Lonchura striata: one gene and its partner. Each later gene encodes a partner of the first gene's protein in a complex. Links are inferred from orthologs where the notes say so. Each region holds a gene or a part of one and is shown on either strand. Other genes may lie near its edges.

What was found. The genes of interacting proteins can lie anywhere in the genome.
Region 2: the proteins of KCNMA1 (region 1) and KCNMB4 are in contact, whole or in part, in a cryo-EM structure (PDB 6V22), measured with the Homo sapiens proteins. The link is inferred for Lonchura striata from reciprocal best matches to the Homo sapiens genes KCNMA1 and KCNMB4. Residues at the interface, in NP_001154824.1 of Homo sapiens: Phe98, Phe99, Leu102, Phe103, Leu106, Leu107, Arg109, Thr110, Tyr113, Leu114, Thr116, Val117, Asp238, Leu240, Trp241, Leu244, Pro327, Trp328, Asn330, Gln332, Leu367; in NP_055320.4 of Homo sapiens: Thr11, Glu12, Ala13, Glu14, Lys16, Ser17, Leu20, Leu24, Ile34, Phe35, Cys38, Trp39, His105, Thr164, His165, Val183, Leu186, Ile187, Leu190, Thr191, Ala194, Leu197, Ala198, Lys200, Ala201, Met204.

What each region holds. Positions count from the first base shown.
Region 1 is NC_134609.1:9,978,753-9,985,695, forward strand, and holds the start of KCNMA1 (calcium-activated potassium channel subunit alpha-1), read left to right. Parts: upstream 1-3,928; 5' UTR 3,929-4,330; coding exon 4,331-4,639; intron 4,640-6,943. UniProt on the Homo sapiens protein: Potassium channel activated by both membrane depolarization or increase in cytosolic Ca(2+) that mediates export of K(+). It is also activated by the concentration of cytosolic Mg(2+).
Region 2 is NC_134607.1:44,931,302-44,938,581, reverse strand, and holds the start of KCNMB4 (calcium-activated potassium channel subunit beta-4), read right to left. Parts: upstream 3,011-7,280; coding exon 2,672-3,010; intron 1-2,671. UniProt on the Homo sapiens protein: Regulatory subunit of the calcium activated potassium KCNMA1 (maxiK) channel. Modulates the calcium sensitivity and gating kinetics of KCNMA1, thereby contributing to KCNMA1 channel diversity.

The DNA of each region.
Region 1 (6,943 bases):
TGTGGAATTGGGCAAGTTGTATTATATTTCAATGCAATAGCTTGTTCTTCCTCACATATTTAATTGCTAAAACAAGAATGCTAAGGGGTTTGGAGAATTGATTAACAGATTTGGAGTTTTTAATTGCAAAGATCCAGGACTGATGAATATTTTAAATACTTCTGTGATACCGTACACAGAATATCCACAAGAGGGAACTGTTTTACATAAAGAGGAGTCATTTCCTTGCTGCTAAAACATTGCTTTCTGGAACCAAATCCTCCAGAATTACATTGAGTAGGCATGACTGTATCCTGGACTATGCTACGTGGTAAGAACAGGAACAACACAGGTCAGCACAGCATTTGTTATGTTCTGTAAATAGTATTGTTAACCAAGTAAATTTTGAGCTCGTGTTTAAATATTAAATGGACAACTAATCTGAAAACTAATCCACTAAAGTTTTCTGTTTGTTTGGAATAGATCTCTCCAGGATGCAGAGCTTGAAAATCTTGTTTAGTCTTAAGGCAACGTGAAATGGAGCTGTTGCCTCAGTAAATGAAGCATACAGCCCCAGGAAGCTTTCTCAAACTCTGCTTTATAGAGCCTACACTGGAAAGCTGGCCTTTCTTTATTCATAAAGGAGAAAGCTCAAATGGGACTTAATGGAAGGGATATTCATTTAAGGATCATTTTTACCTCTGTCTATGAATAGGTGAACAAAATACGAAGTTACCTACTTTGCTTTGTCTTTTGCAGATATTTCCTAGTAAGGAAACTTTCAACTGGTAAGGTAAGTCTTACCAATTGATATCTATATTTACTTTTCAGTGTGAGTTTCATGGTAAATATTTGTAGAACTGAGCCATATTTATGTAAATAAGTTTTGTTTATAGGGATAAAACAAAGGTTTTCCCCTGGATATATAGTGTGGAATTTATATACTAGGACTCCTACTGTATGTGTTGGTTGGTTTATGAACAGTTTTGAGCATCAAAACTTAAAAGCAGCTTTTTACAAGTGATCACAATAAATCTGCTATCCCTGTCCAAATCTGCATGTACACTCTGTGTGAACATGTTGGAATCAAATTACTTGAACATACAGACTACATTTTGTGCACTTACTTTGCTTTAGTCAGAGTTTTTCTTTAGGACCATCTTTGGTATGTGTGGGTACAGTATTATGGGGATGGTATTTCAGAAGTGCCTAACAATCCTGTTTGCTTCTGGAGTGCTTGTGAAAACAGTGTCTGCACTGCTCAGCTGCAGCAGTATTGAGTCCAATACTTTTTAACTCATACCTTCTGAATCTATAAAGCAAGAAAATGTATTTTCAGACTGCAGCCTCTCTGTCAAGTCTTCTGAGCCCTCTCAAACAAGAGAGAATGTATGTCACAGCTATGATTCAGAGACTCACTTCTTGTTATCTGCCAGACCAGAATATGGAAGAAATTCCATCATGCAAAAACCTTCCCTGGGATATGCTGGGCAGCTGCTCTTCATTGTCCTCATCTTGCAAGGTGCACAGGGCTTGTAGTTTCTGTTAGCTGTGAGAGTGCCTGTAAGTACCTGGCACTTCTGAAGATCAGACTTCAAGTGTCTGTGGTACGATGCTCCTGCCCTTGTTCCACTCCAGGTGTTTGCTGATGGATAAAAGGATCCCTAGGTGTGTGTGCAGCTGGGAAAAGGATGTTCCTCACAGGACTGCAGAGCAAATGACCGTGAGAACCAGGTTCTGATTGTGTGATCCTGTCATGGAAACACTTTGCAGCCCAAGAGGGTCTCTAGTTGTGGGGAGGGCTGGTAATGAAAAGACATGGGAGGGGGCAGCAGCTGTGGCAGTGCTGGCAGTCTGGGCTTGCATGTGGCAGTTGTGACATGCAGTTTCTTTTCAATCTGACTAGTTTTCTGCATCTAGAAATTCTCAACTAAATTCCATTACAACCACCACCTGGGAACGGCCTGCTTCAGGTCTGCTATGTAACTGTTTTTCTCTGGGAAAAAATAATGTAGCATTTTTCTTACCTGTATGCACTTCCATATCATTATTTAATGCCTTCTCTATTCAGAGGCCCCTATTAAACCCTTCTTGAAAAAGGAAGCCTTCTCTTGAAGGAACAGACTGGAGAAGCAGACTTGAGAGAGACGTCATGATGAACTCACTGAGTCAGACAGACAGTGGTGTTACTGAACAAAAAAAGTGGGGGTGAGAGGGTTAGAGAGCCCCGTAAAAAGCTTTGGGAAGTCATAAAATCTCATTACCTTCACTTAACTAGAAAACAAAAACAAACAAGCCCCTGGCAGATGCAGAAACAGAAACTACTGCTACTAAAGGTTAAGAGATTACTATTTCATAATGGTGGTTCTCTGCTGGTATAGCAACTAGATAAGATGGGGGAATGTCACGCACACAAAGGCTGCTGTATTTTACCCTTGGAAAGATGTCAAGAGGATCTGCATAATACTTTGTACAGACACCCCAGTGAGCAGACCATGTGCCAAATGGAGATTTTGATTTATGTATAAATGAATACACATATAAACATATAAATTACTCTGCTTTTCAACGTGAATACGAAAAAAAAGTAGGAGATGACTGTCCAGATTTTCTTGCTGGCTTCCCCTTTCACCCCATGCTCCCCAAAGGTGTCGTTTTAAATTGTTATTTATATTCCTAAGGGTTGAATTCAGGAATGTTCTTGGGATGTGCGACAATTTACGGTGCGCTTGCGGAGCGTTTGCAGTACTCGCCCGTGTCAATTAAAGACAAGCCACGAACGCCTTCAGCGGAAAAACCCACGCCGCGGTCCCCGATGTTTATTTCACGCTCCCTTAGCGCGTTTCCATGCCAGCTTCCCCCTCCCGCGCCGTGCGCATCCCCGGGCACCTGCTGCTGCAGCTCAAACGCCTCCTGCGAGCCCCGAGCGCGCCCCGTTCCCTCCCTGCCCCGCTGCCCCCGGCTGCAGCCCGGCCCGCCGGCCCCGAGGCGCCCTCGCGGCCGAGGGTCGCGCTCGGCGAGGGATGCGGGCGATGGGCGCGGGGGCCCGGCGGGGCTGCGGGGGCCGTGACTGCGCCGTGCGTTGGCCGCTGCGTCATGACATCCTTCGAACCGGCCCCGCGCACGGCCGGCGCGGGGGGGCCGCTGCCGCCTGCCCCCGCCCCACCGCGGCTGCGGAGAGCGCGGCGCGGCGGCGATGGACGCGCCAGGGCCGGCGGGACTTGTTGGACCGGCAGCTCCCCGGCGCGGCCGGGCACCGCCTCGCCGCCACCTGTGAAGCGCCCGCCCCGGCACGCAGCCCCCGCTCCCGCCTCGCCGTCCTCCGGAGCGGGCGCTCGGCGCTTCGGCGGCGCCGCGAGCTGGACCGAGCGGCCGCGGGGCGGGGAGCGCTGCCCATGGGGCGCCGGGAGCCCGCCTGAGCCGGCGCCCCCACCCCGGCCCGCCCGGCACCCCCGGCCCGCGGGGCCTTTGATGCGCCCCCGGGGCGGCTGCGGGGCCGTCGCGTCCCCCGGCGGCACAGAGGGAGGGGCGGGAGCCGGCGGCGCCGCTGCGCGTGTGGGAGCAACAGCCTGAGCGACAGCCGGGCCCTGGAGGGAGCTCCCGAAGGATGGGCGAGGAGGCGGCGGCAGCGGCAGCGCACGCACAGATGGGCCAGCGGAGGATGAATTAGGAGCCACAGGAGGCTGCTGCTGGCACCGAGGGGGGAAGAAGAGAGGAAGGGGCTGGACTTGGAAGAGGAGGAGGAGGAGGGTGCGCGGTGGGGGTGACTAAGTGTCGCTGATAACAAGTTAAAGACTATTAACAATAATAACAGACCACCTCCGGGAGGATCCGCGGCGGAGGCTGAGTGAGGGATCCCCGCTGAGGCCAGCGGGGTCGCAGCGCTGGGTATCTCGGAGAGACGCTCAGAGGCATCAGTTTGTGGTGGTGGTGGATGATTTTTTTTGGGGGTGGGCGGGGTAGGGGCTGTGTATGCGGGAGAAAGAAGGGGTGGGAATCTGAGGAGGAGACTATATTTTTATTACTATTTAAAATTTTTTAAAATATTATTTTCGCCGTACAAAGAGGACGCTCGGAATTCACCGGCCTGTCGGCTCCCGAGAGGGACCCGGGAATTGTGCGGTCGCTTTTCTTCACCTGCTTTTATTTTTTTCTTTTTTTTTGTTTGCTTGGTTGGTTTGGCTATTTGTTTGTTTTGACTGGGGGCTTTTTATTTTTATTACTCTCCATATCTTTCCCCGCTGAGCAGCGGCGGCAGCAGCAGCAATATGGCTGGTGATGGGCTTTTTGGGGGGCGCTGGCGGCGGGAGGAGCTCTCGGAAGCCCCTGCGCGCCCGGCTCGCTGTTAGCTATGGCAAATGGCAGCGGCGGCGGCTCCTACCCGGGCGGCAGCGGCAGCGGCATTAGAATGAGTAACAATATCAACGCCAACAATCTCAACACAGACTCGTCCTCCTCCCCCGTCAATGTGCCCAAGATGGATGCGCTCATCATCCCGGTGACCATGGAGGTGCCCTGCGATAGCCGCGGACAGCGCATGTGGTGGGCTTTCCTCGCCTCATCCATGGTTACTTTCTTTGGGGGACTGTTTATCATCCTGCTCTGGAGGACCCTCAAGTACCTGTGGACTGTCTGCTGCCACTGCGGGGTCAAAAACAAGGTAACTCCCTCTTCCCTTCCCTTCCCCTCCTGCTGCCGGTGATGGTTTGGTGCGGTGGTGGTGAGGAGGAGTAGGAGCCCAGCCTTGCAGAGCGGGACACCTGGGCGAGGTGGCGGCGGGCTGCTGATGGCAATGTGCTGCCTGCTCTTGGCTTAGGGTTGCCACGGGCTACCGGCAGTGCACCGTGGGCAGTGTAGCTGGAGGGGCGAGGTGGTGCGTGCAGTGCCAGGCGCCTCCCCGTTCCCCCTTCTCTGTTCCACGCCACGCAGGGACCCATTCGTTTTCATGAAAGTTACACCTGGTGTGCGACGCTCACCCTGGCAGAGAGGCACATGCTGGTGTAGTGGGACGGTGCAGATCAGAAGTTTATGTGCACCCTTGGGGCCGCATATGATAGGGTGGGAGCTTGCATATCCTGATCTAAACTCTCAGTTGCCTTGTGGAATGAGAAACTTCGGCAAAATTGAGCGAGTAAATTTCTCGCTCAATTTCTCACTCACTAAAATGAATCTTTATAAAGCTAGTTTCACGCCCTGAGAATATTTGACGTTTCTGTTTGTTAAATGTTTCTATCTGGAAGTATTCTGTACATTTCTAAGTATTCTCTTAACCTAAGTGTGAAGTCTTTGAGGCAGCCTTTCTGCCACTTTGATTTTTGCATATTGCCAGCTGGAAGAAAGCATAGTATGTGAAGTAAGTTCAGTTTCTGCTTTGAAGGGTCTATTTTCAAACCAAAACTAAGAACTTGCTCAAGTCCACATTGTCATTTTTGATTACGAAAAATAAGATCGAAAGTGTTACCACTGTATTGTGAAAGTGGATTTTGACAGACCCCAGAACAGATCAGCAACTGGAGTTTCTCCCCTTCCCTTTTCACATTTTTTGAATTACAAATGGAATAATATCTGCTTCAGTTATTCCTGGCACACAGACACCCACAAAAACACACACACCTTTTAATATATGGTTGCTAGGTTGCTGGTTTGCTTTGACGTACAGTGAGCTGTCTTCCCCTTTCTCCTGTCCCCTCCCCCCTAAACACACAGCACATACACCAGTTCTGTGAAGGGCCCAGCATTTAGGGGAAACCAGCAACAAAGTCAGAGCATGAAAATTTATGGTACTTGTTTGTTGTGTAGTTTGGGTTGCCTACATGAACCTCCACATTCCAGTTGGAAGTTAAACTCTTACAGTGAACTTGGCCTGTCTATGGAAGGAGCGATTGCTAAAGTTAAGGAAGAAAAGCTTTGACGTCAGCCTGAAGCATCAGGAATCCTATCAGGCAGTACTACTTTGCTATAGGCACATTTTTTTTTTCATTCAAAACCAAACCTGAACTTTCTTAGAGTGTTAGCCAGGTATGATGGCACAGCTCTAATGAATTTGTGGTAATAAGATAATATTTCCTACAGCAGTAAAAGGCAGTTTTCAAGGAAGGGCGAGTAGTGAAGACTTAAGCTTTGGTTTTGTTGTGTATTTAGCATTTATGCCTCCACAGACTCTAGACAGGCTCTCAGGGATCTTGATGAAAAATAATAATCTGCCTGTTATTACCTTGTGCTTCTTCCCTTGAGAGAGCAAAAAGTTAGAGGCTTGTACGCAGGATTCTTATGTGTGGTTTCTTGGTGGGTACTGTTGGTCAGGTAGTCCATTACTGGGACACAGCCAGTTAAAGCAGATCAGTCATTTCTTAATCAGTGTAGAAAGATATGTGCAAATTGTTTTTAAAACCTCTTGGGCTAAATGTGCCAATTTAGTAACAGGCTGTATTGAGGGGTTCAAACACTTCCAGTCTGAACAGTTTGATGTACTATGGCTATGGCAGGTTGTAAGATTTCAGTTTATTTCATCTTTGATACTGAAGTAGTTCCATGAATGTCATTCCCTGGGGCAGGAGGATAAAGGACTCTGCAGGTAGGGGGAGATGTATGTCTCCTTTTAGATCCTATTTGTTCCACTTTTAAGGATTTTCAAGACTGGCAAAGAAAAAGAACTTTCAAGTGCTGATCCTGCATTCCTTATATGATAAAATGAGGAATTGGAGGGAATTCTGTTTATGCAAGGATGTTAGTTATAACTAGTTATTGCAAAACACTTTTCTAGTATTTAGGGTATAAGGCCAACTGAAGTAACTGAAGTAACAAGTGGAATGATCTGAAACTTTGCTGTTACCAAGCACATGCTTTGCTGCTTGGTGAGTTGGGAAAAGCTGCCGAGGCTGCTGGAGAGAACTGTGAATGTGTATATGTGCTGTGCTGACTCTATTGGACCTGCTGCAAAAGCAATTTTAGAAGAAGTAGCTCC
Region 2 (7,280 bases), on another chromosome or scaffold:
CATAAAATCCTGAAAGCTTTCAAAGACAGCAAGACTTTAAATCAAAAATTAAAGGAGAGTATAACTGTTTGTCTCTGCAGACATTGAATTAGGGAAAAAAAGGGAAAACCAAATAAACAGATCCAGACTTCAGTCCCTTACAAAGGTATGTTTCCTGATGAGACCTGACTTTTCTGCTTATTTTGTATTTGTTTTACATAAGCTTCTTAAAGTAGGGACAATAATTAGAGCACATTTTTTTTCTGCACAATTTTCCACTGAGATAAATTCAGTTACTACCAAAGACTACAGTTACATCAAAAAAAATGCATCCTTTTTTGCTTGGTCACATCTGGTAAATCAGATTTAATACTCAGCAATCAATATCCCAGGGTAAACAGCCCACACCTAGAAACACAAGGTGAAAGGTAAAGAAAAGAGATTATATTTGTAAAAGCAGGAAAGTACCACACACAGCCAACAGCCCTGTTTTATTATTAAGAGTTAACATGAAATTAATTGTTAAATAAAAATAGTTTTCTGAGTGATATTTACAGGCATTACTTCTCAAGCTTGGAGTGCCTCCCTGCAATTGCAATTCAGCCCCCGGGCAGGTGCAATCCTTCTCTTCCCACCATAGTTACAGAAAGGCAGAAGTAAATAAGATCAAGAAGTAAAAACAAAACAAAACACTTGGACTACTCAGAATGGTATTGCAGTCACGGTCCAATTTGAAAGCTGCTGCTGAACCTGCAGATGCTGCCAGAGCTGCTGAGCCCAGGCATTCTGGTGGCAATCAGCACTCACCTCCCATCTCCCACTTTCCATCTCCCAGCTCCTTGCTGGAGATGACCACGACTGAGCCACAGGGCCACGCTCAGGGAGAGCCATGCTGCCCCTCTGCAGAGCCACGTCATCTTTACCCCATATCAAAAGGGTGACTTTTCTCCTGCATTTTACCAACTCCCCCCGCCCACCTGAAAATGGAGAGATGCTTAGAGAAGTCCTGCAGCTCGGACAGCTAGGGCACTCCCAGCACACCTCTGCCACCGCACCCCTCTGCACAGGGAGCCTGGCAGCAGCACTCCCAGGAAAAGATTTGCAAAGCTCCCTCACAGGCCAGCATTTCATCTGCTTTCTAATCAGGCTCCATCCAGCACTGCAGCTTCAATCACTCATCACTTCTGAGCAGTGCCAAAAATTTAATCCAAATCCTGTCAGATTTACTATCCTGCTACTTACTCTTCTGATTTTTACCCTGACCACCCTTCCAAGCTGCCAAGGGGGGAAAAGCAACCCTCAAACCCTGAGTGTGAAACTTTATCTGCCTTCCAAGTGATGGAGCACACCCGTGCAAGTATGACTGAGGAGAGTGAGGCTGCACATCCCAGCTGGACACCAAAGCATGCTTCCCAGCCCTGCAAACACACCCCTGCATTGTGCTGAGCATGGCCCTTAAGAGTGTAGTGGCAAGGAAATTTCAGCTCTTTGACAGAGATGTGGATGCAACATAGTGCTAATTCCAAGTTATTTCAGAAGGAGGAGGATTCCGACATCTTCTTCAAACTACTTAATAATATCTCCTCCACTCATGTGCGTGCTAGGAAAGCCATTTTACCCAGCATAAAAAGAAAAAGGAGAAGGAGGAATAACTGCCTTTAAGGAAAGAGAAAGTACAAAAATCGTACATTGCCTTCAGACTCCCCCAGTTTGCTGGAAGATGCAACTTTACAAATTCTTCGTTTGGTCCTTGGAGGAGTTTAAGAATCAAAACAGCACGGGGGAAACTTTAGTTTTGGTGTAGCCCTTTCCCCGCCAGCAGCGGCCCCATTAGCATTTCTCCGTGCGCTCCGGGGAGCGGCACTGCGAAGTCCCGCACCCTCCGGGACGCGCACCGCAGCGGCACCGGGCGCTGCCCGAGCACACAGACCTCCCCGCCGGCAGCAGGACTTTCGCCTCCTCTCCGCACCGGCGTCCCGGGGCTCCGGCGGGGAGAGCCGGGGAACGGCAGAGGAGCCTCCGCTGCCGTCCCTGCGCTGCCGCCCGGGGCTGCGCTCCGGACGCGGGTGGGACGGACGGAATGGAGCTGGCCGCGAAGGGTGAGAGTGTGTGAGAGTGAGACAGTGTGTGTGTGTATGTGTGCGCATGTACCATACTATACAGTATATAGTACAGTGTAATACACTATATAGTACAGTATACATTACATACAGCATGTTATACTATACTATATAGAATCACAAAATATCCCGAATTGGAAGGCACTCACTGGGATCATCCAGATCACCTCCTGGCCCTGCACAGGACAGCCCCAGGAGTCACACCATGTGCTTGAGAGCGAACGCTTCTTGAACTCTGTCAGCTTTGGTGCTGTGACTACTTCCCTGGGGAGCCTGCTCCGGTGCCCAACCACCCTCTGGGTGAAGAGCCTTTTCCAAGTATCGAGCCTAAGCCTTCCCTGAGATTATATATGTATATAAACACTATAGAGATATACTACTTTTTGCTGAGCAACAAGCAGAGCGGCATTTCGGACGGATACTCCCCCACTTCACTTACCACCCTCCACCTCCCAAAAGAGAAATCCCCGCACCGAACAGAGGGCGAGTGCCAGGAGCGGTGAACGGGCACCGACAGCCGCGACGGGACCACCGCCCGCATTTTGGGAGAGGAGGGCGTCCGCGGGTCTCACCTTGGGGTTGGTGCGCAGCTGCCGCTCGTCCTCATGGAGCAGGGCGGGTGCGGAGGAGCGGGAGGTGCGGACCAGCACCTGGAGGCAGGGGTAGCGGGCGGTGCCGCGGCAGGCGGCCCCGCAGGAGAAGGTGCAGGCGAAGCGCTCCCCCAGCTGCCGCACCGCCAGCACCGTGCAGTTGGCGGAGCCGCCGCCGCCCCGCTCCTGCAGCGCCGGGCGAAGCCAGCAACAACCCAAACCCAACAGGGAAAGCAAGCCGGCGGCGATGAGGAGGAAACCCAGCCGCATGCTCTTGTCCTCCGCCTCCGTGTACTCGTAAGCCGCCCGGCTCCTCGCCATCGCCCGGCTGCCGCTGGCATCCGCCGCCGGGCATCAGCCACTGCCATCGGCTAAAACTACCGCCGCTCCCCGCCTCCATCCCCGCCTCCTCCGAGGCTGATTGCGCGTGTAACCAGCACGGAAAAAAAAAAAAAAAGACAAATAATAAAAAAAGCAAATTTAATCCCGTCTGACCTAATTCAGGGCCCTCCGGGAGTGGAAAGGGACAGCTTGCAACCCGATTATCTGACTGGAGATTTGCTGTGCGGAGGGTTAGTCCGGATTAATATTGGGTACCATCATGCAATGTACAATATCTAGAAGAGGGTGGGTGGGGTCCTTTGGGTGCATTGTGGCCCCCCCCTAAGGCAACATCTCACCACTGGCTTCCTTCTTAAATCTTGGAGATCTTGTGTAAAGTTCCATTCAGTACCCCTAAGGCATCACAGTCTGCAAGGTCTCTATGAGCAGAGGAGGAAATGGATATGAAATGAAAGAAATTAAGCATCCACAAGTGAGAAGTCAGCTTCTATTTTCACCTTATTAATAAAGAAGGGCATAATGGGAATTAGCCAAATGTTAACATTTTTGGAGTTCAAAGTAAAGTGTTCTGGCCAGCCCCAAAACCAGCATCTGCACAGTAGGGACAGAGATAACATGCAAGATGATAGCTATCACACACAGGAGTTGCTTTGAACAGGAAGGTATTGACCCTTGAAGGTTCACCCTAAGAAATGCTGTCTTCCAAGCAGGTTTGCAAGAAAAGCTGCTGATTCAAGAAAATGTATTTATTTGGCAAATAAAGCTTGGTTATTAGCCAGCATTTCCCACTGTGGCAACACAAATTCTTCGGTGCCAAAGTACCATATGCAATACTTATAGTTCTATTCTGTAGTCTTTATCACAGGCAATTAGTATAACAAAATGAGGCCCGAGCTGATAGCTGAACTTGATGGCACTGTAGACAAGAAGGTACAGAAATGCAGAAAAAGTTTGGGAAATAGCACTTTCCTTTTCCAATTTCTTTCCCACTGCAGACTGCAACATCAAACTTTTATAAATGAAGCTGATCCGTAGGTTCTCCAAATGGACTATTAAGCAAGGTTTGGCAGGAAGGCTATTAAGTCCACGCTGTGCCATGAATATAGATGGATGTAAATATTGTCCTTGCTTGCACAAGTGAACCACCGCACTCCCCTCAAGCCAGCTGCTTTGCAGTAGCCTGCCCTGATTATCAAAGGGTTTCTGAAAAAGTATACCAGCTCTGAGCTGGAATTATGGGTTTTTTTACTTAAAACTCCTATAGGTGTTTATACTAGAAACTCAACTCCTCTTGCCTAGTCCTTGGCTCTGTGGCGCCAGCACTTGTAGTGACAGCAGTCTCTAATGGTAGAGGCTTGTTGCATAGTTTTCATAATATAAAAAATAAAATTATAATCAGGTTGATCAGTCACGTACCACCTGAAAGGGAAGCTCCAGCTCTGCTTTCTCAGTTTAAATGAGCTGCGGCTTCCTTCTGTCTTACCTCCTGAACAGCTGGCCTTCCATACTTGGTTCAAGTCCCTGCAATCCCTTGTACATAAAGTGCTGTCAGATGGAAATTAAGGCAACAGCTCACTGGGTGACAGAGCAACCTTGAGCTAGTCCTCCTGTGTGCATCCAAGCCCTACATCCTCCACAGCTGGGGAGATGCTGAAGTTGTACTTTAACTAGAAATGGACTAAGCATTCACCAGGTGATCTCATAGATTCTGAACTTCTGCACCAATGACTCAGTCAAGACTTAAAGTCTATTTGGATCAATTTGAAGTGAAAAATGATCATCAGTGCCTGATCACTGTAGCAGAGTAAAGGGGGCCCATTGTAAAGATTTTAGCTCTGCTGTCACCTGTTGAGGGCAGGAGTGGGGATGCTGGCTCCAGGACCATGGGCTGCACCAGGAGCCACCAGGGCTGAGAAAGCTGGCATATGAAGTCCAACGTCTATATGAAAATCTCAACAGCAGAAGACCAGATTGCTGCCTGCTCTTTTGGGCCCTTCCTTGCCCCACAACCAAGGGACAGCCTTACCTGTGGCCAATTGCAGCTGACCCACCTGGTATGGCCAGTGCTGAGAACACCTCTGCCTTGGTCAGGCAGCTGGAGGCTGGGCAGCCACAGCGCAGCTCTGCCACCACACCCACTCCGACTGCTCACTGGGCCTGGGCTCACACCTCCCTGTTTCCTTGCACAAGCCTCGTGCTGGAGTGCGGGATGCTGACTGCCCCTCTTCCAGGAAATGAACTACCTTTTCCAAAAGCAAATATCTAAATAGAACAACTGAGTGCCTTTATAAAACAAATGCTGTGATGCCCACCAGAAAGTTAACTGGCCTTCCAAGGGAAGAGAGATCTCTGAAACAACCAAACCCACCCTTTACTCAAGAATAAGTTTAGAGAATGCTGAAGGGTTTCCACAGAGGTTCATCAATGTCTGCACCAGAGAGCTTTGGGACACCTGCCTTCCTTTCGCTCCTCATCAGGACTGTTTACAGCTGATGAAGGATGGCCCAATCATAACAACTGGCTACTTCACTGGATTGTTTGCTAAACCAGAGGGAGTTCAAAAGGTGATTTTACAGAAAATTATTTTGGTAGTTTCAACAGGAAAAACCTGACATGTATTAACTCACTAGTACCAAGAAGACAATATAAAATACAAATGAGAAACTGAAGCCTAGAAAAACAATACACAAACTCAGTTCAACACTGCTAATCCAGAAGTGAGCTGAATCAGTAACAGTCAAAACTATCGTTCAATGTGCTTTAACATTGCTTTCAAAAGTTTACCTCTAACAGTAAAGTGGTTTTAAGTGCTAAAGCCACTGAAACTATTAAACCCAAAATTTCAAAGTAGGTTATCCAGCTGCATTTCCTCAGGTCTTTTTAACATAGTGGAAACTTTCAGATTTATGGAAACAAGAGCATGCATACTTATCACAGAAAAATAAAAACTTAATTGACATACTATATATGAAAATAAAACCAGCAGCTGTCAATCCAGACTAACTGCTAAATCCAATCTGCATTACCAGAATTCAATTTCTACTGGCTTTGGGTAGTGGCAAATTTTGAGGGACACAATGAAAAGGTACTTGACAACTAATTTCACATGCTGAAATTTGGCTTGAATAGTAACTGTTATATTTAGGGTCTTAAACCAAAAGCACTGTCTAGGTATCCCATGGTTAGAATGGCAGCTGTGCATTTAGAGGCTTTTCTTGAGTATGACAGCAACCAATTTTTCCTTTCTGTTTCATTCAATGTCCAGCCATGGAATTATTTTCAATTGGAAGTTACCAAGGGATTGGGGAAGGGGGGGGTGAGGGAGGCAGGGGGAGAGGGAATTTTCTTAGAGGTGACTAGCAACTTTGAACAGCATTATTTAGAAGATGGACAGCCTTCTGCCATAGCCATGGTCACCTAGGAGCCACTCAGGAGCAAGATGATGGACCCACAGACCTCTGTTTCCCAGCCCTGCCTAGGTCATGCCAAAGACTGTTTCTGGTCTCTCCTGCATCTGAATACAATACACAAATTCTTATTTGGTTACATTCTCCTTTTCTTTTCATGGAAACTGTAAAACAAACAGGCAAGAAATACTGGCTTGGGGTCAGAGAGGATTTCAGACACGCCATGCAGCCAAGTGATACAATCATACATCTTCGTACTGTAGAAATGCTACACAGCCATGATGGAGTGGTGTGGTCAGTTGTGAACCCCAACAGATGCAGCCAACACTTCATCAAAGGTCAGTCACATGAGAAATATTTTTACCCATGTGAGCATCTGCAGGCTTTCCTGGATTACTTGGGGCTTCAATTAGATTATAATCATGCCCATGAAAGTTCTCATGTGTGTATTTGCAGCACCACACCACTAAGGTTGAGGAGACCAAGTGTGGGGTGGTTTTTTGTTTGCTCATTTTTAAAGACCCCAGTGGAATATGCTTAACCCTTTCCTTCATGACACTCTGGTACCTGTGATTTTCCCACAAGCAGGGTAGTCTAAGTAACAATTGCTGAAATAAGAAGTGTCTTTTGCAATACCAGATGTAATCAAATCAGTGAAACTTATGTTAAACCCTGGAAGTTGAAGGTAGTAGATCTGTAGAGAAAGTGGAGCTAACTATTCAGTAAAGATTTGTAAACAATATGCCACAAGGACTATGAGACATGTTGGACAGGTAAGAAACAGGAATACTTCTACTTCTTTCCAAGAAGACTGGGTTTTCTACTCAGAACTTACCTTGCAC